3 linked regions of the Mus musculus genome follow. The protein of the gene in region 2 interacts with the protein of the main gene of each other region in a biochemical or structural test. Links are inferred from orthologs where the notes say so. Each region holds a gene or a part of one and is shown on either strand. Other genes may lie near its edges. The genes, in order: Zc3hav1, Trim25 and Ddx58.

Region 1 (10,075 bases), on a different chromosome or scaffold from region 2:
GGTGTGTCTGAAGAGAGTGACATTGTACTCACATACATAAAATAAATAAATTTTTTTTAAAAAAATTGCACTATAGAGAGGCCCATTGGACACGCAAACTGTATATGCCCCAGTACAGGGGAACGCCAGGGCCAAAAAAATGGGAATGGGTGGGTAGGGAAGTGGGGGGGAGGGCATGGGGGACTTTTGGGATAACATTGGAAATGTAATTGAGGAAGACATGTAATAAAAATATTTTTAAAAATTGCACTATACATATATAATTATATAATATTATATATATATGATATTATAAAAGTTTTTTAAAAAAAGACTCAAGAGACAGCAAGAGGAAAGAGGGAGTATAGGAGGAAGGGTTAGAAAAATAGCTAAGCTACAATGGAAAAATCTTCTCTAAAAATCAAACAGATTTATTTACCCTATGATCCAATTCATTAGATCACTCAAAAGCAACAGCACGGTCTCCAGTAAGTACTGGCGTGCGCCATGCTCACAGCAGCAGTACCCACAGTGGCTAAAGGCATCCTACGGAGATTTGCAACTTACCCTGCTGACAGCCCCTGTACAGATGATCCAGACAGATTTCCTTCAGGCCATGATCATCCATCCTAGGAGATACAGGATTTACGATGTAGCATAGGGAATCTGCAAAACAAAAGAGGATGTGTGTATGCCAGAAGTGAGGACCCTGGCCTCACAGTGAAGAAGATGTCGTCCATGGGGTCCACATTCATGTGCCTCCCTGGATTCGGGGTGCTCTGGAGAGCCTGCTCAGCCCCTCTGTTTTATGAATCATGGACACCAGGGCACCGGAGACTTCTGGGTATGAAATGATTACAGTTCTCAGGTAGGCGATTCAGTGCCGTGGTGTTGTGTTTGTCTTTCCCTATGCACTCAAGCCCAGGGAGTCCCCTAGGCGACTTACACTCAGCAGGGTCTGACATCATCATCATCATCCTCGAGGGCTCACTGGCTGGGCTCACAGAGGCATGGGTGGAGCTCTTGCCAGGGCTCCCAGAGGCTGCAACTCTGTGGCTTGTGGAAGAAGACAGAGGTGACGGAGGCAGCCTATTGCTGCCCTGTACAGGAGTAGTGGTCTCCCCAGGCATAGCCAGGACATGGCTTCTCAGACTCTGAACTCCAGAATAGACTGCTTCTTTTCCTCCAGTGACTGCTGATTTTATGCCAAAACCAGTGGGACTACTTTTAGAGACATTAGGCGTTTCATCCATAATTTGACTAAAGCCATTTGGGCCGTTATGGGTAGATGTACCTGGCCACGCTGGGTTTTCTTCATATTTACTATGCAGGAATGCCGTGTCTTGGCCACTGTCAGTGATTCTGCCAGCGGTCTGGGGATCCTGGGTCTTAGCCACACTCTTCTGATGGTTGCTAGATAGTATCATTTCTTCCAGACCGTTGTCTGTGGCCCTTTTACCTAGAATTCCTGAGACTGTTGCTTCTTCCATTGTTACCCCATCAATATAACTATTTAAAAACGGGACGCGATCAATGTCCTCGTTCTTGCCCTTGACCTCGACGTGGTGTCCTGAAGGCATGCCCATTTTCATGGCCCCAGCTTCATTTCTTTGTGCCGCAACGAGAGGAAAGCCAGCAGCAGAGGTTCGACTTGTGGACGAATCAGAACGATTCCTAGAAAACAAGCCATCTGGATCCCCATCCTCCAAAAACTCCTGGCTTGCTCTCATTTGACTGGGTCCTCGGACACCAGCGGCCTTAGATGAGACGGAGGAAAGCTGTGCACGGTCCTGAGTCCCCAGGTACTTGAACTTCTGGGTGACATCTGCAGACACATCCTCCAGGGGATCCTTACAGCCGGTGACATCTGGGCTAGGGGGACCAGATCCCAGAGGTGAGACCGTTGAGAGAACCTCTAGACTGTTGTGATGGAAGCGGTCTCTGCTTTTGCTTCTGTCCCTGTGTGCCCCGCCTCTGCGATGTGGGTGGGGAGCTGGAAAGAGAAACCCAGAGAGAAAATTCAAGCTCGGGTTAGTTCCTACCTCCATGTTCTCTCTGCTTGTCCAGCCCTGTAGCTGAGTTCTATCATAGGAGTTTCCTAAGTGGTGGCTGCGAATCTTAGGACGAAGCTGCAACCTGGCAGAGTCCACAACAGCAGCGTGTGGGTGGCTCAGACAAGGGAGGACTCCAAAGCTCCTCTGGCCTCTCCTGGGACTCAGTGAGCCCTCCAGTCCCCAAGACCCCAGGTGGGGTGTCTCCAGACTCTAGTTCTGAGTTAACGGTCATTACTACAGCGAATGACAGCTGAAATGTAGCCAGTGAGAGAAACATGTCCACGACTCATGGAGACGTCACGCATTCCGATCTGGGTTCTGGAACAGGCACTTCTAACACTGAAACCAAATGGTAAATGGCTGCAGGTTCAAGCTAAGCCTTCGTCTAAGCCACAAACTCTCCAGGCTTCTTCCTCTAGCTCCCTTAGCGCCTCTTGAGGCTAGGGCTGTTGCTATCTATGTACTGTAATGGTCTAGTTGTCTCAAGACAGGGAATTCTCACAGATGCCAGCTTTTGTTGTGCAAAACCTTAATCCTTAATTTGAAACTATTGTTTGAATAAAGATGCTTACAGCTTGGCTGAAGAGAGGTAGGCGGGGCTTAGCTTCCCAGGCTTGGCTTCTGAGTAGAGACTGAGAAGAGAAAGGAGAGAAGGGAGAAGGGAGAGGGGAGAGGGGAGAGGGGAGAGGGGAGAGGGGAGAGGGGAGAGGGGAGAGGAGGAAGAAGGTACCATGGGGTAGGTGGATCATGAGCACATGGCCGCGAGGGACGGCCTGATGGAGCAGAGGCAGCCCAGGTGGAACATGGCAAGTGATAGTTCAGGATTATTGACAGGGAAATAGACAAAATAGCACAGAGCGTTGATATCTGCCCAGCTCTCGTGCTTTAAAGGATTATTATAAATATAAAGGCTTTGTATTTGGAAACTAAATGACTTAAGGTGGGGTAGAAACACCCAATTAATATTTACCACACCGGGCGTGGTGGCGTACGCCTTTAATCCCAGCACTCGGGAGGCAGAGGCAGGCGAATTTCTGAGTTCGAGGCCAGCCTGGTCAGAGTGAGTTCCAGGACAGCCAGGACTATACAGAGAAACCCTGTCTCGAAAAACCAAAAACCAAAAACCAAAAACCAAAATATTTACCACAAGTGCCTAAACTTATGAAAAGCTGAAATTGAAGGCAGACGGGGTGGATCATGCCTATAATCCCAGTGCTTAGGATGCTAAGACAGGAGTCCAGCCTTGGCTACACAGCAAGTTCTAGGCTAGCCTGCCCTACATTGTATATATATTGAAGGGAGAAAAAAAATCCGGAGACGCTGATAAAGCAGCATCTTTTCTCTAGAAAAGTCTGGGAAGCAGAGAAGACAGGAGTGACCCAGTGTGTGAAGTCTGGCGTGGTACCTACGTAGGTGACGTCTGTTGTGGAAAGGCATTTGAAAGCTGGGGGTGGAGGTGCAGTAGGGTCTGTTTGCTTATGAGGAACATGTGTGTATTATCCTGGTAGAGGAAAGGGGACAACAGTATTGTGGCAAAAGCAAGGCTCCCCTGTGGAGAGCTTTTGGGGCTGCTTCTAGGAGTTTGGTAGGAATTTGATATCAGGCTGGGACAATGAAGTAGGCTCAAGGCAAATACAGATGAAGAACGTGTTCTTTGGATCTGGACCATCCTGATAAACCCCTAGACACAGTGACCTCTGTTTATTGCCTTGATTTTTGCCCTGCTTGTTCCTTGACTACTTTGTCTACGCCTTAAGGACTGACCATATTCTTTGTATGTACCCAGAATGATATAAAAGCAGACTGGAAAAAAATAAACTCGCCTTTAGTCTCAGAACTGGCTGGGGTCATGCTACAGTGTTGTCTAACTGTCTTTTTTAACCCTCACTCCCGACCTGGAGAACCCGTTGACTGCCTGAGCTAGCTTAGTTACTCCCCCGTCATGATGTCTAACTACATAGCTTAACTAGAAGTAACAATGATATGCAGCTCTCTCCCGCACGCTGTGAAGAGCTCACAAACCCACCTCTACAGTCACTCTCTGTTCAGGGCACTGTGGTGTGGAAGCTGCATTCCTGTGCTCGGGTCACAAGCACGGCTTTTGATTTCATCTTCACAGTACTGTTTGGTCTTCCAAGCATGAGTTAAAGCTGCTTAGGACTTATAACACTCCTTTCCTTACCCTAGGTGAAGTTAATGAGTAATAAACCCGCCATTGATCACAGTTTCGCTGTGAGGAGTAATGATGACAGATTCTGGGGCAAAGTCTTCTGTAGACTAAGTACCAGGAGACGTAGCTTTTCATTGCTTCACTGCAGATCCTAGAGTCAGAGATTCTACCCCCTTCATAAACTTGGCTTCTACTGCGTCCACTAGACAAGAAGAGCCAGTGAGATGGCTCAGTGGATAAAAGTGCCTGCCACCAAGCCTGAATGACTTGGGGTTAGTCTGGGGAAAGAGAGCTCCTGAAGTTGACCTCTGACCTCCACACATATGGCTGTATATACACACACAAAATAATAAGTAATACAGTCATGCTGGCCAGTCTTATTATGTCAACTTGACACAAGCTAGAGTTTCCTGAGGCTAGCCTCTGTCTCCAAAGCCCTGGAATTAACTGATGCACACATGTCCCACCCCCAAGCAAACTTTTTTTTTTTTTTTTTGAAGACAGGGTTTCTCTCTGTAGCCCTGGATGTCCTGGAACTAGCTCCATAGAACAAGCTGGTGTCCATCTCAGAGATCTACCTGCCTCTGCCTCCTGAGTGCCGGTATGTTATATAAAAGTGTGTGCCACCACCACCAGACTATAATAAGCTCTTTTAAAATGAGGGGATAGAGCCACTTGTAAAACTGCATACACATCATTGTTTCAATTGTATTAAAGTGGTGCATGCAGATAGTGAAGTTGAGATTTTACAGGCAGATTTCTTGCAGTTTTCCTTCTGTTTGTGTTTGCTGGCTTGCTTGTTTTTTGAGATGAGATTTCTCTGTGTAGCCCTGGCTGTCCCAGAGCTCACTCTGTAGATCAGGCTGGCTTCGAACTCAGAAATCCTCCTGCCTCTGCCTCCTGAGTGCTAGGATGAAAGGTGTGTGTCACTATGCCCCACTGTGGTTTCTGTACATTTGCAAATTCACACAGTTAAAAGGGAAAGGGCATACCTCTCATGCTAGGGGGGTTCCTCCGAGTGTGTTTGTTGTTGCAGATATCCTGGATGTTCTGGACCACATCAGAACTCAGCCCATGCTCCCTCATGATGGCCAACACCTTCCTGTCCATCAGGTTATGAGACCTGAGACAGTTGAGGTAACTGCAGTTGCCCCGGGTGAAGTGCTCACAGATGTGGAGTCTCTCGCAGGGCTGCGGCTGCCCGCAGATCTGTTTGCGGCCCTCTCCTTTGTAACTCTTGCATATCTAGAGAAGAAAGAAAGAACCATGAGGCAAGAACACCTGGACCTGGCTGCCACACCACCAGTTAAGGGTGCAGCCCCCCCCCCCAAAAAAAACAACCCAGGAGAGCCATGGGGGAAACAATGCACGCAACACCCAAGGCTGATGAGATGGCTTCAACTGGTGACTTATTTGGGGACAGAAGAGTCGAAAGAATTAACAGACAATATCACGTATGATGGTGCATACCTGTAACCCAGTGTTCAGGAGGCCGAGGCAAAGAGGATCACAAATGCAGTGCAGAAACCTTGCATTTAAAAGAAAGGAAACTTAAAGGAGAAAAATAGTGATGAATTTGATAATTCCTGGGAGAATCAAACTCACATGGCAAGCTGTACACAGGACATCATAAGGGAGCCCCAAAGAGGAAGTCTAATTTGGATCTTAACTTACTCTACCGTTGAAAGGAAAAAAAAGTGTGTGTGTGTTATTTGCAACTTTGGGATTTTGTCATTTGTCTCTGATAGCCAGAATAGGACCTGTTCAAATGATTTTGTATGTGAGGGGTGGGAGAGAGGGAAGAAGTAGGGTGATGAACTCTTTTAAAAAAAAAGAGATTTATTTATTTATTTATTTATTTATTTATTTATTTATTTATTATGCTTACAGCGCTCTGCCTGCATGTGTGGCTGCAGGCCAGAAGAGGGCATCATATCACCGTATGGATGACTACAAGTGGTTGCTGGGACTTGAACTCAGGCCCTCTTAACCTTTGAGTCATCTCTCCAGCCTTCCTTGACCTATGAAGACATCCACCTGCCTCTGCCTCCCAGGAACTGGGATAAAGGTGTGCACACTCCTCCCCACTTGGTTTTTGTTTGTTAGCCAGAATGAAAGGTGCGCACCACTGTGCTGCTCAGCCTTGCTTTCAGGTTTTGGACACGAGGACTCATGTAGCACAGACTAGATTTCAACTCATAATCCTGCTTCCCTGACCTCCCAAGTGCTGGGATTGCAGGCACACACCACCATAACCAACTCAGTAAGGAAATCCTTACCCACTATCTAGACTCCCTTTGGGGGTCAAATAGCAGGGTAAGATTCATAACAGCAGCAAAAGTGCAGTTATGATGTAGCAATGAAATAATTTGATGGTTGGGGGTCACCCACAACACAAGGAACTGCATTAAAGGGGCACAGTGTTAGGAAGGTTCCAGTGTTCTATTTTTTTTTTAATTTATTTATTATATATAAGCACACTGTAGCTGTCTTCAGACACCCAGAAGAGGGCATCAGGTCTCATTACGGATGGTTGTGAGCCACCACATGGTTGCTGGGATTTGAACTCGGGACCTTTAGAAGAGCAGTCAGTGCTCTTAACCGCTGAGCCATCTCTCCAGCCCCCAGTTACAGTATTCTAAACAAACACATCTGCACACATAGCTCTACAGAGCTGGAGTAAAATCCAGGGATGGTGCAATCAGATCATGTGGCTACAGGGCTAACAGAGACTGCTTTAAAGTCAAGGCCCTAGAAGCAGCTGGGTAACCTCCCGGTCCCAGTGACCTTCTAGTTTCTGTTTCCTTTTCGACAGCAGAAGGAAAATATTTGTTCTGTCTGCCTGCCTAACATCTGTTGGGAGGCGGCGTGACAAAGTATAAGACTGTATTGTGCAAAGTAAGAAGTCTGAGGCAGGTGTCTGAGCCACTAGGTGAAGAAAATGATTAGTCATTAGCCTCACCTTGCAGGCAGCTGAAAGATGAAGGTGTTTAGTTCAATAGGCTGTATGAACTGGGAATGAGTCTGGATGCAGAGACAAAGGCTGACCCCAGGAATAGTGACAGAGCCTCTAGAACCAGACTTCAGCGCATAAGTGCTACCGAATCTAATTCTAGACCACAGTTCTTAAAGTGAGGTGTCTGAACCATGAGCATCACCTGGACACATAGAGGAATCCAGGAGCTGGCTTGTAACACAGGCCCTGGGTTCAATTCCCAGTAGCAGGTACACCAAGCATAATAGTACGTGTCTACTACTATGAGCCCTCAAGAAGTGGAGAAAGTATGTCTGTTTGAGGCTAGCCTGGGCTACATAGGGTGCTCGTGTCTCTAATAAAACAAAGAGCAGGTGAGGTGGGGTATACCTTTAACCCCAACTAGGAAGGCAGAGGCAGGTGGATCTCTATGTGTTCAAGCTACACAACGCCCTGCCTTCAGAGCTCAGTGGACACCTCAAAAATCACCTGTTGTGCCAGAGTTTTTAAATGCCCCCAAATGGTCAATCCTCAAGAAATCTCCATTGGCTAGCTTGTCTTATCTAACAGAACTCCAACCTTCTTGGCAGCTTCATATCTCTTCTACCCTTCCATCTCTTCCTGTATTGCTCTGCCTCCCTGTCTGTCTTCTGCCCCTTTCGGCGTTGCTCCTGCTCAGTCTCCCATTCTGTGTGAGACTGCTAATGACTTTGTATTGTGGGTACACTCAGGGATTCTCCACTCAAGGGCTTTTCTCGGGTCATGCATGGTCCTTTGAGCAACATCAACTGACTCTCCACTCTATAAGCCTATGCAAATAAGACTTCATTATCTTCCATCATCTGTCTTTCCTCTAGTAATAGAAGTCCTTGACAGGCAGCCACTCCGCCAGCAACTACATTTCTCAGCCCCACTTTCAACTAATATGACCATGTGATTAGCACTGGCCAATGAGATGTGAGCAGATGTGCTACACACAGTGTCCAGTTTTCAAAAGGGTAAACTGCTTGGCTTCAACTTCCCTTCTACAATCCCACTGACTAAAAAGTGGTGACAGAAATCCCTGTACTAAGAGATGAAAGCCACATTCCGAAGACAACAGGGCTCGTAACTCACTAACATGAGTCTTGCAAAAAGGTGTTGGACCCTCTTCCCAACCCTGCGGCATATCTGCCTGCCCGCATCCACACAGGACCCAGAGGCACCGTACTTCTGTAACAATCCACAGTCAACAATTTAGGCTCTTCTGGCCAGTCAGTCTCTGTTGCAACTACTCACCTGACCCCTGGAGGGGGAAACAGAAACAGAAAACCTGTAAACTCATCTGCACGGCTGTGTTCCACTAGACTTTTATTTCTGGACTAGGTTTGGCTTCTGGGCTGTAGCCTACTGGTCCTTGATGAGGCTATCAAGGAGTAAAAAGCTTAAAGTATATTTTCTTTATCACTGAATTTACAGTAGGAGTCTCTGGCACAGTGACACAATCTGTGCCTGCATCTTTCAGGCATCCAGCTTCAATTCCAAGGCTACCCTGATGTTAAGCCTCAGGCAGTCCAGCTACCGCCACGTCTTCAAGCCATCTTTGTTCACAGTGGAATCCCTGGCAGCCATGTGGACCCAAATTCTTCTTTCATTTGTTCAGACAGGGTCTCACCAGGTAGCCTTGGCTGGCCTGGAACTTATTACATAGACAAGGCTAGCCTCAAACTCATATAGATCTGCCTGCCTCTGCCTCCCAAGAGTGCTGGGTTTAAAGGTGTGCACCAGCACGTCTGGCTTGCACATAATACTCTTGCCTGGTGTTTAAAGTGAGAACCAGGACCTACCTCAGGCATGAAGAAAGGGTCGCTTTGGACCAGGAGGACCGCCAGCTCCTCTTGGTTAAGCCCGGAGAGCTCATGATTCTTCAGGACCTGGAAGTTCTGTTCCGAGAGAACATCGTGAGAATATTTGCAGAGGTTCCTGGAAGGACAGAGGACAACTGTCAATGTTTGCACGTCACAGCGGAAATGAGAAAGAAGACAGCCATATTCACACGGCATGGGGGTAGAAAGAGGGCCGGGAGAGGGACGGCAGGCATCTCGAGTTCTAAGCAAAGGGGGAGAAGAAAAGAGGACACAGAAGGAATTACTGGGAAGAAGAAAGGGTTTACTGAGTTGGAGAGATGGCCCTGCAGTTAAGAGCACCGACTGCTCTTCCAGAGGTCCTGAGTTCAATTCCCAGCAACCACATGGTGGCTCACAACCACCATAAATGGGATCTGATGCCCTCTTCTAGTGTGTCTGAAGAGAGCAATAGCATACTCACATACATAAAATAAATCTTTTAAAAAGGGGGAGGGTACCAAGAGGGTGCAGGGGAGCAGGGAAGGGCCTTGGGAGAAGGGAACAAACCGGCAGGGCATGGAGATGTGAAAACACCATACTGAAATCCATCATTCCATACGCCAGCCTAAAAGACTGAGTTCAACTTCAGTGGTAGACCACCTGCTTAGCATGTGTGAAGTAGATTAAAAAGGAAAAGTTCACTAAACTTTCACTCAGCAAAGATCAAATGCTGTATCCTTTGGTAATTAACACAGACTAATCAATCCTACAGAAAGAATACAATTTTATGAGGTCCACTGGCCCAGCCAGATGACATCCTGGGTAATGGTAAATGTTTGCCAACAAACCCAGTGACCTCAGTTTGATTGCACATACACAAATATATACTTTAAACAACAAACAACAACAGGGTCTCACTATACAGATAAAATCAACCAGGCTGGTTTCAAACTCATGGTGATCTGCATGCCTCTGTCTCCATATTAAAAAAAAAAAAAAAAAAAAGAAAAAGAAGCTGGGCAGTGGTGGTGCTCACCTTTAATTCCAGTACTCGGGAGACAGAGGCAGGCAG
Region 2 (10,820 bases):
TGGGCCTCCCCCCTTTATAAGCACAGACTTTTAGTAAACTTTGTGGGGGCCTTGAACAGAAACATGTCGTGGCCTCCATCATTTCTCTCGCCGTTTCCTTCCATACAGCTCCAGCCTCCCACTCAGGAATCCAGTTAGTGTGGCTGCAGGCAGCTACAGGTGGTTACAGGAGGGTACCCCATACTGACAGGCTTCCAGAGGCGTGGTGAGGTTTTGCTCGGCCAGGCATGCCTGCTACTATGTGCTTCTGCAGGACAGACTGGAAGGAAGGCGACCAATTGATCATAAAGTAGCACCCCAAAAAAGTCAGGGTTCACCCTTTCCTGTTACTCTGTCATCCCTGGTATTCATCATCATCATGAGATGCTGACTAACATAATCTCTGTAAAAAAAGAGCAATTCCTGACTGTGGTTATAACTCAATCTCGTGCTTGCCTAAAACACACAAAACCCTAGGTTTGATCCCCAACGTTACACAAATTGAGTGTGGTGGCACATGCCTATAGTTAGTACTTTGGAGGTGGAGGGGGAAGGGTCAGATGTTCAAGGTCATGCTCAGCTATATAGCATAGTCATTTTGGGCTGCAGGAGACCCCGTTTAAAAAAGGAAAAAAAAAAGAGGAAGAGGAAAAAGAAAGAAAAAAAGGAGGGTAAGCCTCCAGGATGGGTCATCAGATGAAGGCGATTGTAGCCAAGGCTGACAGCCTGAGTTCTGTCCACGGAATCCACATTGGAAAGGAATCGTCTTCCTCAGGTTCTCCTCTCACCTTTACATGGACACACACTCGCGAGCACACACAGACACACACACACAGACACACACACACACACACACACACAATTTAATTTGTTTGTTTGTTTGTTTTTCGAGACAGGGTTTCTCTGTGTATCCCTGGCTGTCCTGGAACTCACTTTGTAGACCAGGCTGGTCTCGAACTCAGAAATCGGCCTGCCTCTGCCTCCCAAGTGCTGGGATTAAACAAATACCACCATGCCCGGCACAATATAATTTTAAAAATGAAGCTGGGAGGTGGTGGCGCACGCCTTTAATCCCAGCACTTGGGAGGCAGAGGCAGGCGGATTTCTGAGTTCGAGGCCAGCCTGGTCTACAGAGTGAGTTCCAGGACAGCCAGGGCTATACAGAGAAGCCCTGTCTTGAAAAACCAAAATAAATAAATAAATGTTAAGAAAAATGAGCAAATCAAATCCAGCAATATATAAAATGATAATACACATGCCCTTTGGTTGTCCCAGGAGGTTGGGAGTACATTCCATTCATACAGTGGGGATGCTAGCCAAATAAGGCAGAAAAGCCCTCCGGATCAGTGCTGATTAAACCAACGAGAGTTTCTCCATCAAAACACGATCGTAGTATGGGAATAAAAAGAGAAGCTTCTTAGATGTCTTTACATTTATTTTATGGTTAGGAATAACCTTGGCAGAAGCCGGAGGAATTTGAGGTTAGTCTGGGCTATATAATGAGGATCTTTTTCAAAATCTGGAGACAGTAGGAGATTGTTTTTAAATGTTTCCAGGCATAGATATGACAGCACATTTAAAAACAACAACAACAACAACCAAACAAAATTAAAAAACAAAAAAACAAACAGCCTGAGCTAAGAGACCTAGATTCTGGGACCTTCTCCCATCTGGAGCTCAGGCTGAGTCTGTTACAAGCCTATTGCATAGTGGGTCTTTGGTCATTTGAGCCTACACACAGTAGGCCTCTGGCTCCCCCACCCCCACCCTTAACCTTTGATCTGCACACATTCCTGCACTAAGCTACATCCCCAGCCTCTCTGGCTCTCTCTCAGCTGAGGATCAGCATCCTTCACAAGGGTGTGTTGGAACTATAGCTCAAGTTTAATGAGGGCTGCCCCGATGGATGGGAATAATCGGTGTTATATTTACAGGTAAATGAGGCTTGTTCCTCCACCTACTTTTCCTATCCTCTAGACTCAGAGCAGGAATCCTATTATGATTGCCAGCCATCACCTGGATCAGGCCAGGTATTTAGTCCTCTCTTGACCAACCAGGTCCCATTTGGCTGTGCAACATTGCTGGACGGAAGATATCAGCTATATCAAAAAACAAACACACCCTGCCAGCCGATCCCTGGTCTCCCATCAGCGGATCCCAGTAAAGGTTATGGGCCATCCTGCGCATTACCACCTGCCATGTGTGTATATAAACTAAAAGGTGGGGGAGATGTGTGGGGCTCCGGGCTTCACAGATGAGAAACCCATGCCTCCCGGGACACTCTACTTCAATGATCTCTGTATTAGAAGGCAGATCTGTTTGCCTCAGACTCCTTCAGCTCTTGCTCTGTAGCACACCTACCGTGTAATAGGTCTTTGTGACTATCTCCCCCTTGGAATTTGATAAACACGGAGCGTGCTCGGCTCTCCAAATGATCGTCATTGTCCAACCAGCCTTTCTCAACGATTCAGCCTAGAAAGAGAATTCCACATTTCCCCTTGAGTCACCAGACTCCTCCACCCACGATAATTAGGTTAGAGGTGGATTCTATACTGTTCATTTCCTGGAAACTGTCTCCTCCCTCCCTTGGCAGGCAGACAGGCAGGCAGCATTTTGTAGTAGGAAATACTTGCCTTCTGGAACCAGATAGGGCGTGTGCCAGCATCCATTGTCTTGGCTGGATTGCTTGGCTTCTCTAAGCCTTTTTGTTTCTTTTTTCTCTGTAAAGTGGGATGGTTTTATCTACTTCACAGGTTGTGGTAAGGACTCCCAGCCTTCCACCCCAGCAGAATGTTTTCTTCTTTTTCCATGCAGACAACTACCACCACCAAAATACGAACCAGAATAGATGGGATGATAAGTCTTGTGGAAACAGAAGTCCATGTGATGAAACTTAGGGGAACCAGCGCTTAGGATGTTATGCTGGGCAGCCCCAAGCTCATCCCAGCTCCTTTGTAACAGTATCCTGACCTTCACAATAAAAATGGATGTAGGATGCCCCTCTTAGGGCTTCGTAAAGGTGTCTTGGTAATATTCTCCATTTGTTTGGCACACAGTAGGTGCCTCATAAACAATGGCTATTAGATACTATGAGATATTTACCTTGTCCTTTTGGCTGCTTAACATTGTCATCCAAGGTAAACTCCCATAATCCCTCAAGGAGCTTCTTTCCCACAGTGGAATTTCCCATCAGACACTCGGATTCTCCTGTCCACCCTTCTGTTCTGCACTCAGCCCAGATTGCAGGACTGCCTTACAGAACTAAAAACAATGTAAGCCTAAATGAATGATTTTGAAAAAAAAAAATTGAAGCTTCAATATTGTGTGTGAAGGGGGCTGTCGAGATGGCTCAGTGGTTAATAGCGCCAACTGCTCTTCTGAAGGTCCCAAGTTCAAATCCCAGCAACCACATGGTGGCTCACAACTATCCGTAATGAGATCTGGCGCCCTCTTCTGGAGTGTCTGAGGACAGCTACAGTGTACTTACATATAATAAATAAATAAATCTTTTTAAAAAAATTGTGTGTGAAGGCTGGAGAGATGACTCAGCAGTTAAGAGCACTGACTGCTCTTCCAGAGGTCCTGAGTTCAATTCCCAGCAACCACATGGTGGCTCACAACCATCCGTAATGGGATATAATACCCCTCTTATGGTTTGTCTGAAGACAGCTACAATGTACATAATATAAATAAATCTTTTTTTAAAAAATACTGTATGTGCACATATAAGAGAGAAAACATTTGTTAAATTTGGGAGTCCCCAAATCCCAAGTGAGTAAAAATTTCTCTTTTTTTTTTTTTCAGTATTGAAAATTGCTAGGCAAAGGACTTTACCACCAAGCTATATTCCCAGACCCTTATTACTTAAGTGAGGGTAGGGTGGGTTCTATGTAGCCCAGGCTGGCCTTGAATTTGAGTTCCTCCTGCTTCAGTCTCCCCAGAGAGAGTTCTGGGATAATAGGTGTGTCCCACCTCACCCAATTTAAAAGTATTATAACCAATCTGGCTTAGATGAAGAAATTCTTAAGAGACACTTGTGTCTCAATCTGTTACATTATTGAAACAGTGAACCCCAGAGAAATGGGAGTTTCCTTGGAATCTCATGCTGGGAGAGACCAGAGGGAGAATTTGTCTCCTGGGAAAAGATTTCACAGTTAGTACAGCTTGTGGGACAGAACAGCTTACCAAATGAGATTGAATCCCAGACAATGATGGGCCACTGGTAGGCTGGACCAGGTCTGGACTGGCACTTAGATACAAATATTTTTGCCTTCTGTTTTAACTCTGTTCTCACTTCAGAACGGGGAAGGTGGACTTGAGGGGTTTGCTGGGTCTCTTTTTTCTGTTTTCCTCTTTTAAGTAGGCTCATTTAATTGGCTTAAGGACCGGTGGCTGGAGCTGACTTGGGGCAAAAGTTGTGACACCCAACTTTTGTAATATTAGGTTTTGTTGTTGTTGTTTTAAAGATCATCTACCATAAAAGGAACACCAGATCTGAATGGATGACCATAGGGTCCTGCCTTTAGGGCTTGGGAGGAGATTTGTCAGAGCCCACCATCAGGAAAGAAGAGGGAGCTGCATACAAAGGCAGCACAGCTGGAGGGAAGGGGAAGGGAGGGGGAAGGGAAGGGGAAGGGAGGGGGAAGGGAAGGGGAAGGGAGGGGGAACGGAGCGGGAAGGGAAGGGGAAGACAGCCACAGTCCATAGAATTGTGTTTTGTTTCTTTTCTTTTCCTTAAATTATTATGTGTATGTTATTGGGGGAGGGGGGTGTCAATTTTGTGCAGTCTTAACCAGGGTTTTAGTAATTGTGTTTAGGTCTCATATTCTGTTGTACAGCCATCTCCCCAACCCTATTTTTAGATGTTGAGACGGCCACTAACTCTCTAGCCCGGTCTGACATCGAACTCACGGCAATCCTGTTGCCTCAGCCTCCTAAGTGACTAAATTACGGGCACGAGCCACCAAGCTCTGGGTCAACAGTATTTTGTTCTGTTTGGCTTTGAGTTTTAATAAGACCGGTCCTGTTCTGGAGGGATGATTGGTGACACCTCGGGGACACAGATGAATGTTCTCCAAAGCTCTGCTGCACTGTGCTAGGACGTAGGCCCCGACCAGGAGGGTGGGAATATTCCAGCCCCTGCGACAATTCATCTGCAGAGTGCCTCTGAAACTGCACCTGGTAGCCCTTGGGTCGTGCGTCGCTCGGGTCCGCGGGGTGTGGAGAGCATCAGAGTTCCCCAGGTCCCATAATCACCTTTGGCTTCCAGCACCAGGAGGGAAGCCTCCCGCCCACTGTCCGGCCCCCAGGGACCCACGTGACTTCCTGAAGCCCCAGGGCGCCGCCCCTCCTGTTCAGTTTCGATTCCTTCCTCGCTGCTTCTTAAGTACCGCGCGGTAGGGTGCGCAGCTGTCCCTGCGCGTCACGTCGGGTGAGCCCACGAGCGCGATGGCGGAGCTGAATCCTCTGGCCGAGGAGCTGTCCTGCTCCGTCTGCCTGGAGCTCTTCAAGGAACCTGTCACCACTCCGTGCGGCCACAATTTCTGCATGTCATGCCTGGATGAGACGTGGGTCGTCCAGGGCCCGCCGTACCGATGCCCGCAATGTCGCAAAGTGTACCAGGTGCGCCCGCAGCTGCAAAAGAACACGGTAATGTGCGCGGTGGTGGAGCAGTTCCTGCAGGCCGAGCAGGCGCGGACCCCGGTGGACGACTGGACGCCTCCTGCCCGCTTCTCCGCCTCCAGCGCAGCCACCCAGGTGGCCTGCGACCACTGCCTGACGGAGATCGCAGTGAAGACGTGCCTCGTGTGCATGGCCTCTTTCTGCCAGGAGCACTTGAGGCCTCACTTCGACAGTCCGGCCTTCCAGGATCACCCCCTACAGTCGCCCATTCGTGACCTTCTGCGCCGCAAATGTACCCAGCACAACCGCCTTCGGGAATTGTTTTGTCCCGAGCATGGCGAGTGCATCTGCCATATCTGCTTGGTAGAGCACAAGACCTGCTCCCCTACGACCCTAAGTCAAGCCAGCGCCGACCTGGAGGTAGGGAGTGGCTGGTTGAGGGTATAGAGGACAGCTTGGATCAGCTGAATTGTGGAGAGGCCATCCTGGGTATCCCTGTAGTACAGTGGGTTGCTAGAGGAGATAGGCTTTGCTGGGCCAGAGATCCCATTCCTTCACAGACCTCATGGCCTTAGGCTCCGTGGGCCGCAGTCTGGGAGTTGGGCAGTAGGAAGCCATCCCCACAGACCAAACAAGTAGATTTTATATAGCCTCCCGCTCATCCATTATCGCCTGCCTTCTCCAGCCCTCTTAGTTCTATTTTACATAGAGCACAACGGAAGGCACAGGTAAGAGTGCCTGCCCCAAGTCTGTGTTTGTCCAGTGGAGTTCAGTAGTTTTGAATATTAACCAGGAACCCTGGGGGTTACCTCTCCAACCCCTTCAGATCCTGGCAGCACGAAAGGGCTGTGTCTGTTTAGTTCATTCCACAGCTCAGGGCTGTGTCTGTTTAGTTCAGGAAAACAGGCCCAGAGAAATTAGCTTAGCAGGAACCAGGCTGCTTTGAGTCACAGCTTCTGGTTTCCTTTTTCCCTGTAGACCACAGATCTGTTGAGTCCAGAGCATGGAGCAGTCTTGGAAGCTTGAGGTTAAGGGTAACAGAAGCCTCTGTTGAGGAGGGTGTGAATGGATAGTGAGTGTGAACACAGAGCCTCAGAAATCCCTGCTTGTGACTTTGGCACTGTGGTATAGCCCTTTTTTGGTTGTTTTTAAGACTGTCTCACTATGTAGTCTTAGCTGTTCTGGAGCTTGCTATATTGACCAGGCTGGCTTTGAACTCATGGAGACCTGCCTGCCTCTGCCTCCCAAGTGCTGAGACTAAACGCACGCGCTCAGTTGGTGTAGTCCATCTTGCTGTGTGAAAATTGAGCAGGGCCTGGCGTGGTGGCGCATGCCTTTGATCCCAGCACTCGGGAGGCAGAGGCAGGTGGATTTCTGAGTTCGAGGCTAGCCTGGTCTACAGAGTGAGTTCCAGGACAGCTGAAGCTATATAGAGAAACCCTGTCTCGAAAAACCAAAAAAAAAAAAAAAAGAAAGAAAGAAAAGAAAAAAGAAATTGAGCAGGAATTGGGCCTCTGGACCTGGGTCCGCCTTGCTAAAGACTGGAAGCGTGTGTCAGGGAGTCAGGGTTCCTAATGGCCTTGTGGGGTTGCAATGATTTTAGTGGCTTTAGAGGTCCCCCCCCCATTACAGACTCAAAGCAGTTGTTGCCTCTCTTCGGTACATTTGTCAAAGTGTGATCTGATCTCCTTTCTCTCTCAAACGTCTGAGAACTTGAGGCCTGTCCCAACATTGTGGAAGGAATTGGAAACCTGGGTGAGGTTGGCAAGCCTTGCTGTGTGGTGCCAAGATCTCAGCTCCGCTCCCTCCTCCTGCCACAGCCCTTCCCTGGCCTTGCCTGCCTGTCTGGGTCTTAGTCAGGTCCCTTAGAATGTCTTCCCTCTGATTCTTGGCACCTGTATCTACAGGTAACATCTTTAGAGTTCTCTTCAGTATACCCCATGTGGGTACGGGGTACGGATACCTCCAAGTCTAGCTGTTCTGGGAGAAAGTCTGCCCCGCCTTTGGTGCTTTTGTCTTTGCTACCACCAGAGCTAGCTGTTTGGCTTGGGGCAAGACCCTACAGATCTCTGGGTAGGTCAAGAGCCACCAGGGAAGTGCCGCAGAGGCAGGATCCGGTGTCAGGAGGCTTGGCACTTAAGAGGTCCCTCCCAGATTCAGTGCCAAGATCTTGGTTTAAATTGTGACCCCCAGCAGTAGCTTCCAGCTACAGAAGAATAAAATGGGGAACATGATGGTCTCCAGTTACAGTGAGGGCTGGTGAGATGGCTCAGTGGGTAAGAGCACCCGACTGCTCTTCCGAAGGTCTGGAGTTCAAATCCCAGCAACCACATGGTGGCTCACAACCATCTGTAACAAGATCTGACTCCCTCTTCTGGAGTGTCTGAAGACAGCTACAGTGTACTTACATATAATAAATAAATAAATCTTAAAAAAAAAAAAAAAAAAAGGCATGCTCCAGTTACAGTGAACCTTGGGTGAAGTGAAGCTGGTGTAGTGGCTCATGCCTGTAATTCCAGCCCTTGGGAGGCTTAGGCAGATAAATCATGAGTTTGAGGCCAGCTTGGACTACATCGTTTCAGGTCAGCTACAGGGTGAGACTCTTGTCTCAGAAAGACAACCACAAATAACCAGTGGCCAAGGAGGTGGCTTGGCTGGTAAAGGGACTTGTTACCAAGGCTCTGGCCTGAGTTTGATCTCTGGGACCAATGGTAAAAAGAGAACCAACTCCAGCAAGCTGGTCTTTGACTCGACAATCCGTATGCATGTGATCGTGTGTGTGTGTGTGTGTGTGTGTGTACGTGTACACACAACTAAATGAATGTAATAAAAGAAGCGAAAGTGGATAAGTCAACTCTCTGCAAGATTTCCATGTAAGTTACTACCTACCGGTTCTATTATTGGGCTTGGGCACCCTGGTCTGTGCTCTGGGGCAGCCCCAGGCAGGACAAAGTGTCCAGATTGGTCTCTGTCCCAGTCAAGTGGACTTGCCATCAATCCCTGTAGTAGTACCCTGCTGTATAAGTACATATTTACCAAGGCAGAAGTAAGTGGGGGCATGAGGGGCCTCCCCAGCCAGGAGTGAGCGGCCATTCCTGCTGACTTTTTAATCCCGATACCAGGATTCCTCCTGCCAACCTCCTGCCCATATGTTTTTCAACCCAGCTGCTGTTCTTCCTGTCTCAGTGCCAGACCCTGGCAAGCGTGCTCAGTCTTGAGTATCACGGCTACTAGTTTGGGGGTGCAGACTCAGGATTCCCCTCTCTCCCCCGTGGAGGACCCAGGTCCTTGGTCTGCCACAAGCTCTCCCAGGCTTCCCAGAGTTCTGTATCCTTGACCAGTCCTCAAGCTGCCTCTCTTTGATTTGGAGTGGGGTGCAGTGGACCCCCATCCACAATGAGGGGACTGTTATCTGTGTTTGCTTAATGGTGGATAACCTTTTTAGTGTGGAGGGCTCATAGTGCACTCAATTCTGGAATTGAGTCAGTTGCTAGCACCCGTATGTTTCTTCCAGCCCGGGAGGTAGTTCTGCCTGGATTTGCCCTTTGACCCAAATCTATCTCCGCCACTGTTGGAGACCTGAGGTGGGGGAAGGGTTGTGTCAAAGAGATTGAGCCAAACATCACTGATCTGGGCTTTCTGGCTACAGTTTGCGCAGCCTTGATCTCTGTATCCGGCCCTTAACGAGTGCCAGTGGATGGTGCAAATCCAGCCCCAAGGTTAGGTCCAGCTCTGATGGAGTAGAGGAAGCAGGAAAGTAGAAGAGAGAGCTACTGTGTGTTGAGCTGCTTCATTAGGGGAAGGAAATGCTATTATAATATTTTTTTTTTTGTAGAAATTCCTAGCACACACAGTTTGGTCACTTGTTTATAAATTTAGTACCATTGTTAGTAACCTGTGCCAGTTACTAACAATGTGGTCTTGGCTGAGTCGCCTGATTCCTCGACATCCTTCTGTCGTGTCTGAGTGATGTCTACTTTTCCGTGTTGCTCTAGAAGTAGTAGGTGTCAGGTGCTGGCAGAGTGTGTGAGCCCTTCATGACAGCCCTCATGACTGATGGTGGAGTGTCCCTTCTCATCTCTGTATGGCACCGATCTATCTTAGCAGGGACATAGGAAACTTGCTCCTGGAGGTGGCTGAGAGCCAGACAGTTTTGAATCAGTGTAGTTCTTTCAAGCCCCAGTGGCCAGCTTACCCTGATTCTCAGCCCTCAGTGGCCCTGGCCTGGGGTGGCCAAGTACAGTTGTGCATTTGTCCCTGCCTTGCTGGAGGTGACAAAGCCTCACCCAGCTTCCTTCCCCCTCCTGGAAGTCTCCCCTGGGGAGGACAGCCTTGGGTGTTGGGCTCCTTCGTTGGGTCCCCTTCTGGAAATGCCAAGGCTTTCTTAGTTCTCCAGCACCTTTGATATTTTGTCTACTTTCAAGGCTGTTTGCTGTGGTAGGGTGAGCGACCTCACCCTGCCGTTACAGAATCAGCTGTTCCAGATTGTTACGTCTCTGTGAGCTGGGCCACTTGCTGTCCCCCTTGCTTGGATTTCATGAGCTGTAAAATGAGTAGGAGAAAAAGAAATGTATTAGAATAGAAGCTGACATTTAGTATTGACAGATCCTCCAGGCAGGGCTCTGAGCACAGTCCTTGGTTAGTCTTCCTGATTGTCCCTGTAGCTGCTTAACCAAACCAGTGGTTTCTGTTCATGGCCAAAGAAAGAGACAGAAGACATATGGCTGGGAACAGGCTTTCAAACAAACAGGGTCATTTTGGTTCCAAGTCTTTTTTTTTTTTTTTTTTTTTTTTTGGTTTTTCGAGACAGGGTCTCTCTATATAGCTTCGGCTGTCCTGGAACTCACTCTGTAGACCAGGCTGGCCTCAAACTCAGAAATCCACCTGCCTCTGCCTCCAAAGTGCTAGGATTAAAGGTGTGGGCCACCACGCCCAGCTGGTTCCAAGTCTTGTATTGTCTTCCTGAAGGGGCAGCGGAGTTAGGGAGGGAATGGTCCTCAATGTGGGGGAGGGGCTAGGACATAGGCTAAGGAGGGGCTCTCTCACCCTATGTGTTTTCTCTACAGTACAAACTGAGGAATAAACTCACTATCATGCACAGCCACATCAATGGGGCAACCAAAGCATTGGAGGATGTGAGATCCAAGCAACAGTGTGTGCAGGTGAGTGACCCTCCCCCACTCTAACTCCAAACCCCCTCATTCTTCTGGGAGGACTTG
Region 3 (10,075 bases), on a different chromosome or scaffold from region 2:
ACGCCCGACGAAAATGTACCTTATTAGCACTCTTTTAGGGCTAAATGAGAGGTCATGCACAAAATGTGTATGTCAGCTTGATGCATAGCAGTCTATGCACAATGCATTTCAGTTATCATTAGAAAGAAAAGTCATAGAACATCTGCTTAGAAAAGAGACCTGCTGCTGTGCTGTTAGGCATTTCCAAATGGCTCTGTGTGCCGATACATCCTTAGGGTGAATGGTTAGCGTCTGGGTTAACGCTTTTACCCCAGGATTGCTCTTGGTCAGGGATATAAGGATTCAGAAGATGAGAACATTTGCCTTGGCATATTGATAACACATTATAAAGGACAAAGGTGAAGAAAGGAATATCTTAAAAGCTAGTGCTGGACAGGGCAAAAAGATGATGCTAACTAAGCCCTACTCAACTATACTTCACAGTGATTTCAATCAGATACCGCTTCCACAAAAGCTTGCCAGAGGAAAGGCTGAGCTGCCTGATCAGTGTGCTGCATTTGTCTCCCCCAGATCCGAGACACTAAAGGGAGAATGGCAGGTGCGGAGAAGATGGCCGAATGTCTTATCAGATCCGACAAGGAAAACTGGCCAAAGGTCTTGCAACTTGCTTTGGAGAAAGACAACAGCAAGTTTAGTGAATTGTGGATTGTTGATAAAGGTGGGGTGCTCCAAGAAAGAACCCTGGACCCTGCTGCGCTCCTCCCAGTTCTCCCCACTTTACTTTCCATCAGAGGCGCTGTTCACTTCAGATACCAAAGGCTATATCCCTAGGATACAAGCAGTGGAAAGCTGAATTCTGGGAGGAAGGGAACTACATGGCATGGAATTAACCCGACCAGGTCAAAGAATCTAGGGAAGGCTTCCAGCCCCAATTTGTTATCAGAGAAATAGCTTGAGAATTCTAGACCTAAAGGTTCAAACTGCAAGACTTACCTCCCTATCAGAGCAGAGGCTGAGTGTTGGGGGTGATAGCTATGGACTGGTGCTCTTGCCCGGAAGCCATCTGGACTCCGACAGAGCAAGAGTAAACGAAGATTTTCTGTGTTTAAGCCAACCTCATTTGGCTTCCGGAAACTCACTTCTTGCTTTAAACAGACCTTGATAAATACCTGAGTTTCTAGTTTCCTTTCTCACCTAGATTTCCTTAGAACATAAATTATTCCAGAAACTCTCTACATCGTTGGTCAGAGATGGAATCCTGTCTCTTTAGTGTGCTCAGGAATGACGCCCCTGCGTTATTGGCGTGAGTTCCGGAGTGGGGAGGGGCTCCGGATGCAAACTGCTGAGAGCCCCGGGTTCCACACTTGGAGTCGCGTAGTTCCAGATGAAACTGGAATTCAATTGCCAAGTTGAGCTTCAAACTCAGAATAATCCTTGCAGTTGTTTTAAGCCGTCAAAGTGGGGCTCTCTAGATGGCTCAGTGGATAAGGTTCCTGCCACTGATCCTGAAGACCCAAATTCAACGTCCAGGGCCTACATGATAGAACCAATCCCCAAACAGTGTCCTCATCCCTCGGCACACTCACTGTGTCGTGTGTGACACACACAGTAAACAAATCCATTTCAAAAATAAATAAAATGTTAAGAAAGTGCAAGACCGTGATTGTAAGAGCTCAACGGAAATTTAGATGTTTAGTGTTAGTGTTAGGACTTTTTGGGACTTCCCCAACCAAAACCATAATCACATTGCGCATGCTTTTAATCCCAGCACTCAGGAGGCAGAGGCAGGTGGATTTCTGAGTTCGAGGCCAGCCTGGTCTACAGAGTGAGTTCCAGGACAGCCAGGGCTATACAGAGAAACCCTGCCTCGACCACCACCCCCTTCCAAAAAAAAAAAAAAAAGATTCTAAGCTGTAAGCTGTTATTTGTGTTTATGATTGTTTGCTTGCCTGTTTATCACAAAGGTTTCAAAAGGGCTGAAAGCAAGGCTGATGAGGATGATGGAGCGGAGGCGTCCAGCATCCAGATTTTCATTCAGGAAGAGCCAGAGTGTCAGAATCTCAGTCAGAATCCCGGGCCTCCTTCAGGTACCAAGCATCGTTTGCTCTCATCCATGATGGTGTCCCCCAGCACTTTGATGCCCTTTGAAAAAAAGTCTTTTTAAAGGATGATTAAGAAAAGAAAGAATTTGTGGGGCAATAGGGACTTCATAATTAGAATCCCTGCTCCTGTCTTCCATGGCCTCTGCATGGCCTTCAACCCTCCCCCTCCTCTCCCCTCCCCTCCCCCTCCCTCCAGTATGTATGCCTTCATCTGTACCGTGTTCCCAGAACTTCAGTGTCCATGACTTCTCAAAGCAGCCTTGCTCTCTAAAGAACACTTCTGCTCACTAAGCAATGGCTTTGAGAATCTGGGCTGACAGCTGGTTTTCCTCGGCTGTTTTTGATGATCTGTTCTTACTTTGTTCCAAGTGGCTTTGTTTTGAATTAGGCCATTCTTGCTGTCCTTTTTCTTGATAAAGTTTCCACGATTAAGAAAGAATTCATGGGGCTGGAGAGATAGATGGTTCAGCGTTTAAGAGCACCGACTGTTCTTTCAGAGATCCCGAGTTCAATTCCTAGCAACCACATAGTGACTCCAGCGTCTGGGTTAATGTTTTTACCCCATCTGTAATGGGCTCTGGTGTACTCTTCTGGTGTGTCAGAGGACAGCGACAATGTGTATATTCATATACATTAAATAATAAATAAATCTTCAAAGAGAAAAGAAGGAAGGAAGAAGTAACAGAGAGAGAGAGAGAGAGAGAGAGAGAGAGAGAGAGAGAGAGAGAGAGAGAGAGAACACACTTTGGCCAAGATCCCAAACCTCAAACAGGGGCATTGTTGCTAGAGTCAGAACTCATGTCCACTGAATGGCAGTTGCACCATGATTCCTTGTAGCATGAACCCTTCGATAACTTTGTCCCCTCTATATTACAGAAGCGTCTTCTAATAATTTACACAGCCCATTGAAACCAAGAAATTACCAACTGGAGCTTGCCCTGCCTGCCAAGAAAGGGAAAAATACAATAATATGTGCCCCTACTGGTAAGTCAGTTGCTGTCACTCACAGAACTCTCTGGCTTCGCTTTTTCTTCCCCCTTTGGGGGCTGTAAAAGGAGGAGTTTTCCCCGTGGCCCATGCTGCCCATGGGAGAGCTGGTCTAGCAGCTTAAGGAACCTGGACAGCGATAAGGAGGGAGATAAGTGTCTTCTTTAGTTTGCTTTTGGTTCTTGCTACCTGAGTGCACGTTACTTAGGAAGTAGCTTGGCACTTTTCAGCCATTGTTTAAACTGTCATTGTTAGTGCGGAGGAGGGATTATTAGTTTATTTGTATCCCAGTGGTCATAGAGAAGCCAAAATAAGTACCATTCTGGAAAAACAGCTAACACAGGTTATCTGTTGGTTTTTTTTTCTTTTCTTTTTTTTTCTTTTTTCTTCCCTACTAAAAGGTTGTGGAAAAACCTTTGTGTCGCTTCTTATATGTGAACACCATCTTAAAAAATTCCCATGTGGACAAAAAGGGAAAGTGGTCTTCTTCGCTAACCAAATTCCTGTCTATGAGCAGCAGGCAACTGTGTTCTCACGATATTTTGAAAGACTTGGGTATGTACTACTACAATCAATCTAACTGCTTTGATTTTTGGTTTTTGTTTTGTTTATGTTTGTATTTTAAATTCTAGCCCCTTTGGCTGGTTTTGGGGGCTTTGTTGTGTCTGGTTTTGGGGGCTTTGTTGTGTCTGGTTTTGGGGGCTTTGTTGTGTCTGGTTTTGGGGGCTTTGTTGTGTGTTTTCTGAGACAGTGTATCACGTAGCCTTGAGTTGTCTCCAACCCACTGTGTAGCTGAGGTTGGCCTAGAAGAGATGATCTTCTTGCTTCTACAAGTGCTGAGATTACAGTGTGCACTGGCATGCCTGGCTGTTCTCTGATTTTCTTTCTTTTTTTTTTTTTTAAGATTTATTTATTTATTATATGTAAGTACACTGTAGCTGTCTTCAGACACTCCAGAAGAGGGCATCAGATCTCATTATGGGTGGTTGTGAGCCACCATGTGGTTGCTGGGATTTGAACTTCGGACCTTCGGAAGAGCAGTCAGGTGCTCTTACCCACTGAGCCATCTCACCAGCCCTCTCTGATTTTCAAAGCTATGATTAAAGGAAAATCGCCATGGACTTAACTTTTAGAGGTAGTTCCTTTGTGCAATAACATTTTTGGTTTAACTTTACCAGAAATGCTAAGCCCTCATGTCATGCTCTGACAGTTAATGAACTTGGTGGCCAAATTTAACATGTAGGCGATACACAGGTCATCCTTAATGATGTTATACTTGATTGGCTATTACTCTTTTCAAAATCATTTCTCTCTTAATGACTTGAAAGAATAAATACACTGTGATCAGCTATAACCTCTTGCATTTCCTGACTCCCCGGCTTTGTGTCAGGCCTGTGAGAAAGTTCAAGGTACTACCCAGTTGTACTCTTTTGGGCTTGGGCTGACTTCTTTAATTGCTGCTCTGACCTAGACTTCTACTTTGTCTCCTTGTTCATTCACATCAAGGTTGATGATAAGGGATTTCTGTCATTCCCCAGGTACAACATTGCGAGCATTTCTGGGGCAACATCTGATAGCGTCTCAGTGCAGCACATCATTGAAGACAATGATATCATCATCCTGACACCCCAGATTCTTGTGAACAATCTCAACAACGGAGCCATCCCCTCGTTGTCTGTCTTCACTCTGATGATATTTGATGAGTGTCATAACACTAGCAAAAACCACCCATACAATCAGATCATGTTCAGATACCTAGACCACAAACTTGGAGAGTCACGGGACCCACTGCCTCAGGTATTTCCAATCTTCTAAGAAGAACCACAGTTTTTCAGAGTCCCACTTAGTTGCTCTTTTGTAGCCACATTTGAGCTTGCCCTCCTCGGGGTCTCAGTCCATCGGTACAACTCAGTGGTCAATGTTGGTTCATTCATTTGACCAACAGTTGTCCCTTGGTGTCCAGGGTAGATGCCCTTCACAAAAAACAAAATCTAGGCTGCTTAAGTCTCTTGTATGAGATGACATTGCATTTATATATAATCTACACACTTTCCTCTTGCATACTTTAAATCTTCTCTAGATTACTGATATTGTACAGTATGATGAAAATTTTATATAAATAGTTCTAGTACTGTAATTTTTAGGGAATAAAGGTGGGAAATTCATACATGTTTAGTACTTATGAAGTTTTAAAAAATATTTTTGATCCATGGTTGTATGAATTCACATTTATATAACCTCTGGATTTGGAGGGCCAGCTGTATAAACCATGGGCTTCCATGGACCTTGTGCATTGTTCTAGGCTCTGGGACACCAATACAGAAGATATAGTCCTGGCTCTCATACAGTTAAGTTTGCAGGGAGCCAGGAACATAGTAGTCACAGCTTATCATGAGGTATGCTGCAGAGACAGGTAAAGGGTGTTGTCAGAACATAAGGGGTAATAAGGCATAGAAATGAAGGGAACTGACAGGGGCTTGCCAGGTAGATAGCTTCTGGTTTCTAGTAAGAGGGTGCTGTGTGTCCAGGGGCTCAGGGAAATGGAAGGGCCTGACATGCCCCAGAACCTTAAAACTCTACAGTATCACTTGAGGGTAGAGTGTGAAGCAGGGAACAACAGTCAAGCTGATTGTTATGACAGATGACCCAGAGACACCAGGAGGGCAGAGCGTCAGTGGGCAAGTGGATGGCTTAGCACAGGGAACAAGCAGCAGCCTTCTGATGTCATATGAGAAGAGTCACTTCAGAGTCATTCTTACATGTGACAAGAGGAGTACAAATTCTCCTTCTGTCTATCATAGGAGAGGGGGTGCTTTGCTGAAAGTCAACGATATAGAAACAGGAGGGGGCTAGAGAGGATGAGGACGGTTTGACTCAGGCACTGATAGATGCAATAAAGAATGACGGTAGTGTATCTATCAGGGGCCCCAAGAAGCTGTAAACCATGAATTATATACAATTCTTTTGCTCCAACAATAACCTTTTTAGGACGTGCAGGTTAAAGGACATTTAGTACAGGACCCACAGTTTGTTATTCTCGAGTATCGTTGCTAGGAAGCAGATTTCTTACCGTCCAGCTAATCATTTAGGTGAATGCTTACTGAAGGGTGTTATCATACTGAATCTACACAGCTCTCTTGTACACGACTCACTGATTGTTGAAGGTATTTGTCCAGGCGCACAAAATGCATGTGATATGAATGAGCCTGGAATGGACTTTTTCTTCCCATTGTGATGTTTAGTAAGAGACTGGGGGATAAAAAAAACAGGGTAGCCCTGCCTGGAAAGGTTTCCTCTCTGTTCTGGATGACACGCTAGATTTATTTCCGAGCTTTGCTCCAGGGGGGTCTTTGTGCTGGAGAATGTCAGAGAGCCAGTGGTGGGGTGCTCCTTACAGGTCGTTGGGCTGACTGCCTCCGTCGGCGTTGGAGATGCTAAGACCGCGGAGGAAGCCATGCAACATATCTGTAAACTCTGTGCCGCCCTGGATGCCTCCGTGATTGCCACAGTCAGAGACAACGTTGCAGAACTGGAACAGGTCGTTTATAAGCCCCAGAAAAGTAAGTGGAGGTCAGCAGCCCACACCTCGCGACTTTGTAACCTTCTGTCCCCTCTGCGTCAGAGACAGTGGATGAAGTTTGATGCTGTATTTGTTTGGTAAAAGCATAGTGGTTACATTGCCTATCTTTCTCCCTAGTCAACCTCTTCTCCCTAGCGACGCATGAGTCTCAAAGGTAGCCAGAAAGGGACAAACATCCCTACTCTTTACCAGCAGCTGAGTGAAGGAGGCAGTGGGAAGATTCAAGCATTTTGAAAGCCTCAATAGCTAGTGGCGGAATCAGGTCTCTGTGCTCCGGGCCCTAGGCAGGGGCTATGTGGCCATCTTGTTCTTGTATGTATCTGATCATTGTAGTGGCATGACCCGAATCATGACAGTTCAAAAGGCCAGAACATGTTTTTAAAATGAGCTTCATTAGAAGATGGTTATTACTTATTAACTACCTGTGTAAGCAGGGAGGTACCGTAGTTACCCACGGCTGGATCTTGGCCTGAGCACTCGTTCTGTGAGTTGACAGCAGGATCAATGGCAGGGTCAATGGCAGGATGAGCAATGGGGGGGTGGGGGTTGGGATGGCACAACCCTGGTTCTTTCTGAGAGTCCCCCGTGGAGAGTGTGAAGAAGGTGCCTCCCCACCCACGCCCACCCCTTAGCAACACTCAAGGGTTTTTCTACAGTTTGAGCCCTTGGAGCTTAGTCTACTTCAAAGTCATTTTGTGTCACTTTCTCCGTCTATGCAAACCCTCTACGAGCTATTCTGAGGGTGTGTCCCAGCTCCTGCGCGCCTTCCTTTTTCCCTTATTATTCATCTTGCGGCAGCTTCCCCGGAGAGAATGAGGTTTCCTCCCCTCTTTGAGAGATGCCTTCCTGGCCTGCACCTGCTTCCCAGGGCTCTGATGGGCGGGTTTAGGAGCACACCTTTGTTTCCTTTAAGGAGTGGGTGGGTTGGGGAGCAGGGGGAGGGGGGAGGGAGGGGATAGGGGGTTTTTGGAGGGGAAACCAGGAAAGGGAATAACATTTGAAATGTAAATAACGAAAATATCTTTAAAGAAAAGAAAAGAAAAGGAAAGAAAGAAAGAACCTGCCTTCTGTGCAGCATAGGGTAGCTCTTGTCAGCTCTCTGTCACTGAAACAGGACATGTGACAGGCAGTTCTTTTTCTGCCAAAAGTACACAAATGTGAACGATAAGCTCAATGGGGGCACTCTTGGGGGCTCGGAGGTGCGCAGGAGAATAGGAAATCAGGAAAACGGGGCTGGAGTATGGTATTTGCCGAAACCAGAAGGCTGCCAGACCTGCCACAGTAGAGGCACCAGGAAAGCTGACTGAGACGCTGGCTTAGACTAGACCAGGAGAGACACTAGAATCAGAAGCAGTTCCGAGGTCAGAGGCTTCTGACCGCCTGCTGTGATTTGGGCCACGTGAGCTTGGAGCCTGTGGCTTTAAAGGACTTACCCAGGATGGAGCAGCTTCGGGAAATGGCTGCATAGGACCTGGGTTTCCTTCAGCTTACTCACATGCCTTTGACCCCAGTTTCCAGGAAAGTGGCATCCCGGACTTCGAACACGTTTAAATGCATCATCTCTCAGCTGATGAAGGAGACAGAGAAGCTAGCCAAGGATGTCTCCGAGGAACTTGGTAAGCCTGTGCCAAGTCCTGGAGAGAGAAATCTCATGTTTCCTGTCCCTTCCATTTAGAGGTACTCATGGATTGCTCGTTAGTGTCTTCAGTTTTGGGTGAGATTATACTCAGAGGTGGACTGACTTATTTATTCACACATATTTCTTTCTGTCTCTGTATCTTCTTTATCTCTTCATTCTTTTTTGCCATCATTTTTTTCTCCATTCCTTTTTAAAAAGATTTATTTTTATTTGATATGTGTAGATGTTTTTGTCTGCATGTATGTATGTATATCACATGTATCAGATACCCGGGAACTGGAGTTACAGACAGTTGTGAGCTACCACATCTGCTGGGAATCGAACCCATGTCCTCTAGAAGGGTAGCTGGTGCGCATAACCACTGAGGAGCCCCCATTTCTCTAGCTGTTTTTAAGACAAGGTTTTTTTCCCTGTGTCCCTGGTTGGCCTGAAACTTGCTATGAAGACAAGGCTGGCTTTGAACTTGCAGGGGTCCCCTTGCTTCAGCTTCTGAGTCCTGGGGTCTCTGGCAAGCGCCACCATACCTGGCTCAGATATAGACTTTCTTAATCCTAGGTTGTTTAGGAACCTTATAGGAGTTCTTTAATTCTCTCTTGCCTTTTTCTTTTTAAATACAAAACACATCCACCTGGACATACATACCTGAGAAATACTGTCTTTAAATCATCTTCTAAATTTCCTTTCTTCCTTTTTTTCCCCTCTTGAGATAGAATCTCTGTGTTCAGTGTAGGCTGGCCTTGAACTGGGAACTCTGCCCCTCCTCCTCCTCCTCCTCCTCCCAAGATGTGCATCATCACTGAGCTGCCATTAGAGTGCCATTGTCCCTTCCAAGAGCAGTTCCCCCAGTGACCTAACACTCTCTCACTGTCCTCAGCTCTTGAAAGTGTCACCACCTCCTAACCTCACACACTGAGGACCAACCAGCCTTTTGCCACATGAGCATCCAGAAGGCACTTAGACAGTAGCTAAGGCACAGCACTGGGGGAGGAGTTTGAATAATGAATCCACTATGGGTCCTAAAGTAGTAGGGTAGCAAGCATGCTCTCTCCTCTAGAGTTTTGGAAACTCTCTGTAAGGTAAAGAGTAAAGAGACCAGGTAGTCAGTACATGGCTCACCTAGGAACAAGATAACATGGTCTGACTAAAGTGGTGGATGGACAGACGGACAGGAATAGAGTTGTATGACTTACTTTTTTGTTTTGTTTTTGTTTTTAAAACAGTCTGTCTGTATAGCTCTGACTGTCCTGGAACTCTCTTTGCTGGCCTCAAACTCACAGAGATCTGCCTGCCTCTGCCTCCGGAGGCATTCACACTTTAGAATCTTTTCCCACCTCCTCACATTGAGTATCTGTCAATAGCTGCCTCACTTCTTCTGGAACTTGGACGTTTTTCATTGTGAACTGGGTGTGGTGGCACCATCTCTACTCCCAGCAGCTGGGAGCCTGAGTCTGAGGCCAGCTTAGGCTACATACTGAGCTCCTGTCCTTGGGGCGGAGGCTGGGAAGAACTTGTCACTGTTTCTTGTTGGTACCCGTCCTGTGTTCTGTTATTGCAAATGTGAGGGAAGCCATTTAACACACAAATGCATTTCACTTCTTTGAACTGTACTGTGCTTGTCTCAAGAAGCCCAGGACACAAAACAATAGAGCAAGCATCTGGGGCTGTTCCCACTTCGCCTTTCCCCCCCTACCCACACCAATCTTCCCCTGAGTCTGAATCGCTGTGAATCCCACAGTAGAACCAAGCAGTCAAGACATGCACATGCGCACACAGATGCTTCCGGGATAACTGTGTTTGACTCCGCCTTGTGGTTGGTGCTGCAAGTGC

What was found.
Region 1: of the proteins of Trim25 (region 2) and Zc3hav1, one has a biochemical effect on the other in vitro, tested with the Homo sapiens proteins (2 studies listed by BioGRID). The link is inferred for Mus musculus from reciprocal best matches to the Homo sapiens genes TRIM25 and ZC3HAV1.
Region 3: of the proteins of Trim25 (region 2) and Ddx58, one has a biochemical effect on the other in vitro, tested with the Homo sapiens proteins (5 studies listed by BioGRID, with this or other methods). The link is inferred for Mus musculus from reciprocal best matches to the Homo sapiens genes TRIM25 and RIGI.

Annotation. Positions count from the first base shown.
Region 1 is NC_000072.6:38,331,217-38,341,291, forward strand, and holds part of Zc3hav1 (zinc finger CCCH-type antiviral protein 1), read right to left. Parts: intron 9,140-10,075; coding exon 9,004-9,139; intron 5,449-9,003; coding exon 5,196-5,448; intron 1,973-5,195; coding exon 926-1,972; intron 646-925; coding exon 547-645; intron 1-546.
Region 2 is NC_000077.6:88,994,062-89,004,881, forward strand, and holds the start of Trim25 (E3 ubiquitin/ISG15 ligase TRIM25), read left to right. Parts: upstream 1-5,341; 5' UTR 5,342-5,427; coding exon 5,428-6,021; intron 6,022-10,667; coding exon 10,668-10,763; intron 10,764-10,820.
Region 3 is NC_000070.6:40,218,549-40,228,623, reverse strand, and holds part of Ddx58 (antiviral innate immune response receptor RIG-I), read left to right. Parts: intron 1-510; coding exon 511-658; intron 659-1,904; coding exon 1,905-2,027; intron 2,028-2,918; coding exon 2,919-3,026; intron 3,027-3,430; coding exon 3,431-3,584; intron 3,585-4,567; coding exon 4,568-4,826; intron 4,827-6,426; coding exon 6,427-6,589; intron 6,590-8,120; coding exon 8,121-8,225; intron 8,226-10,075.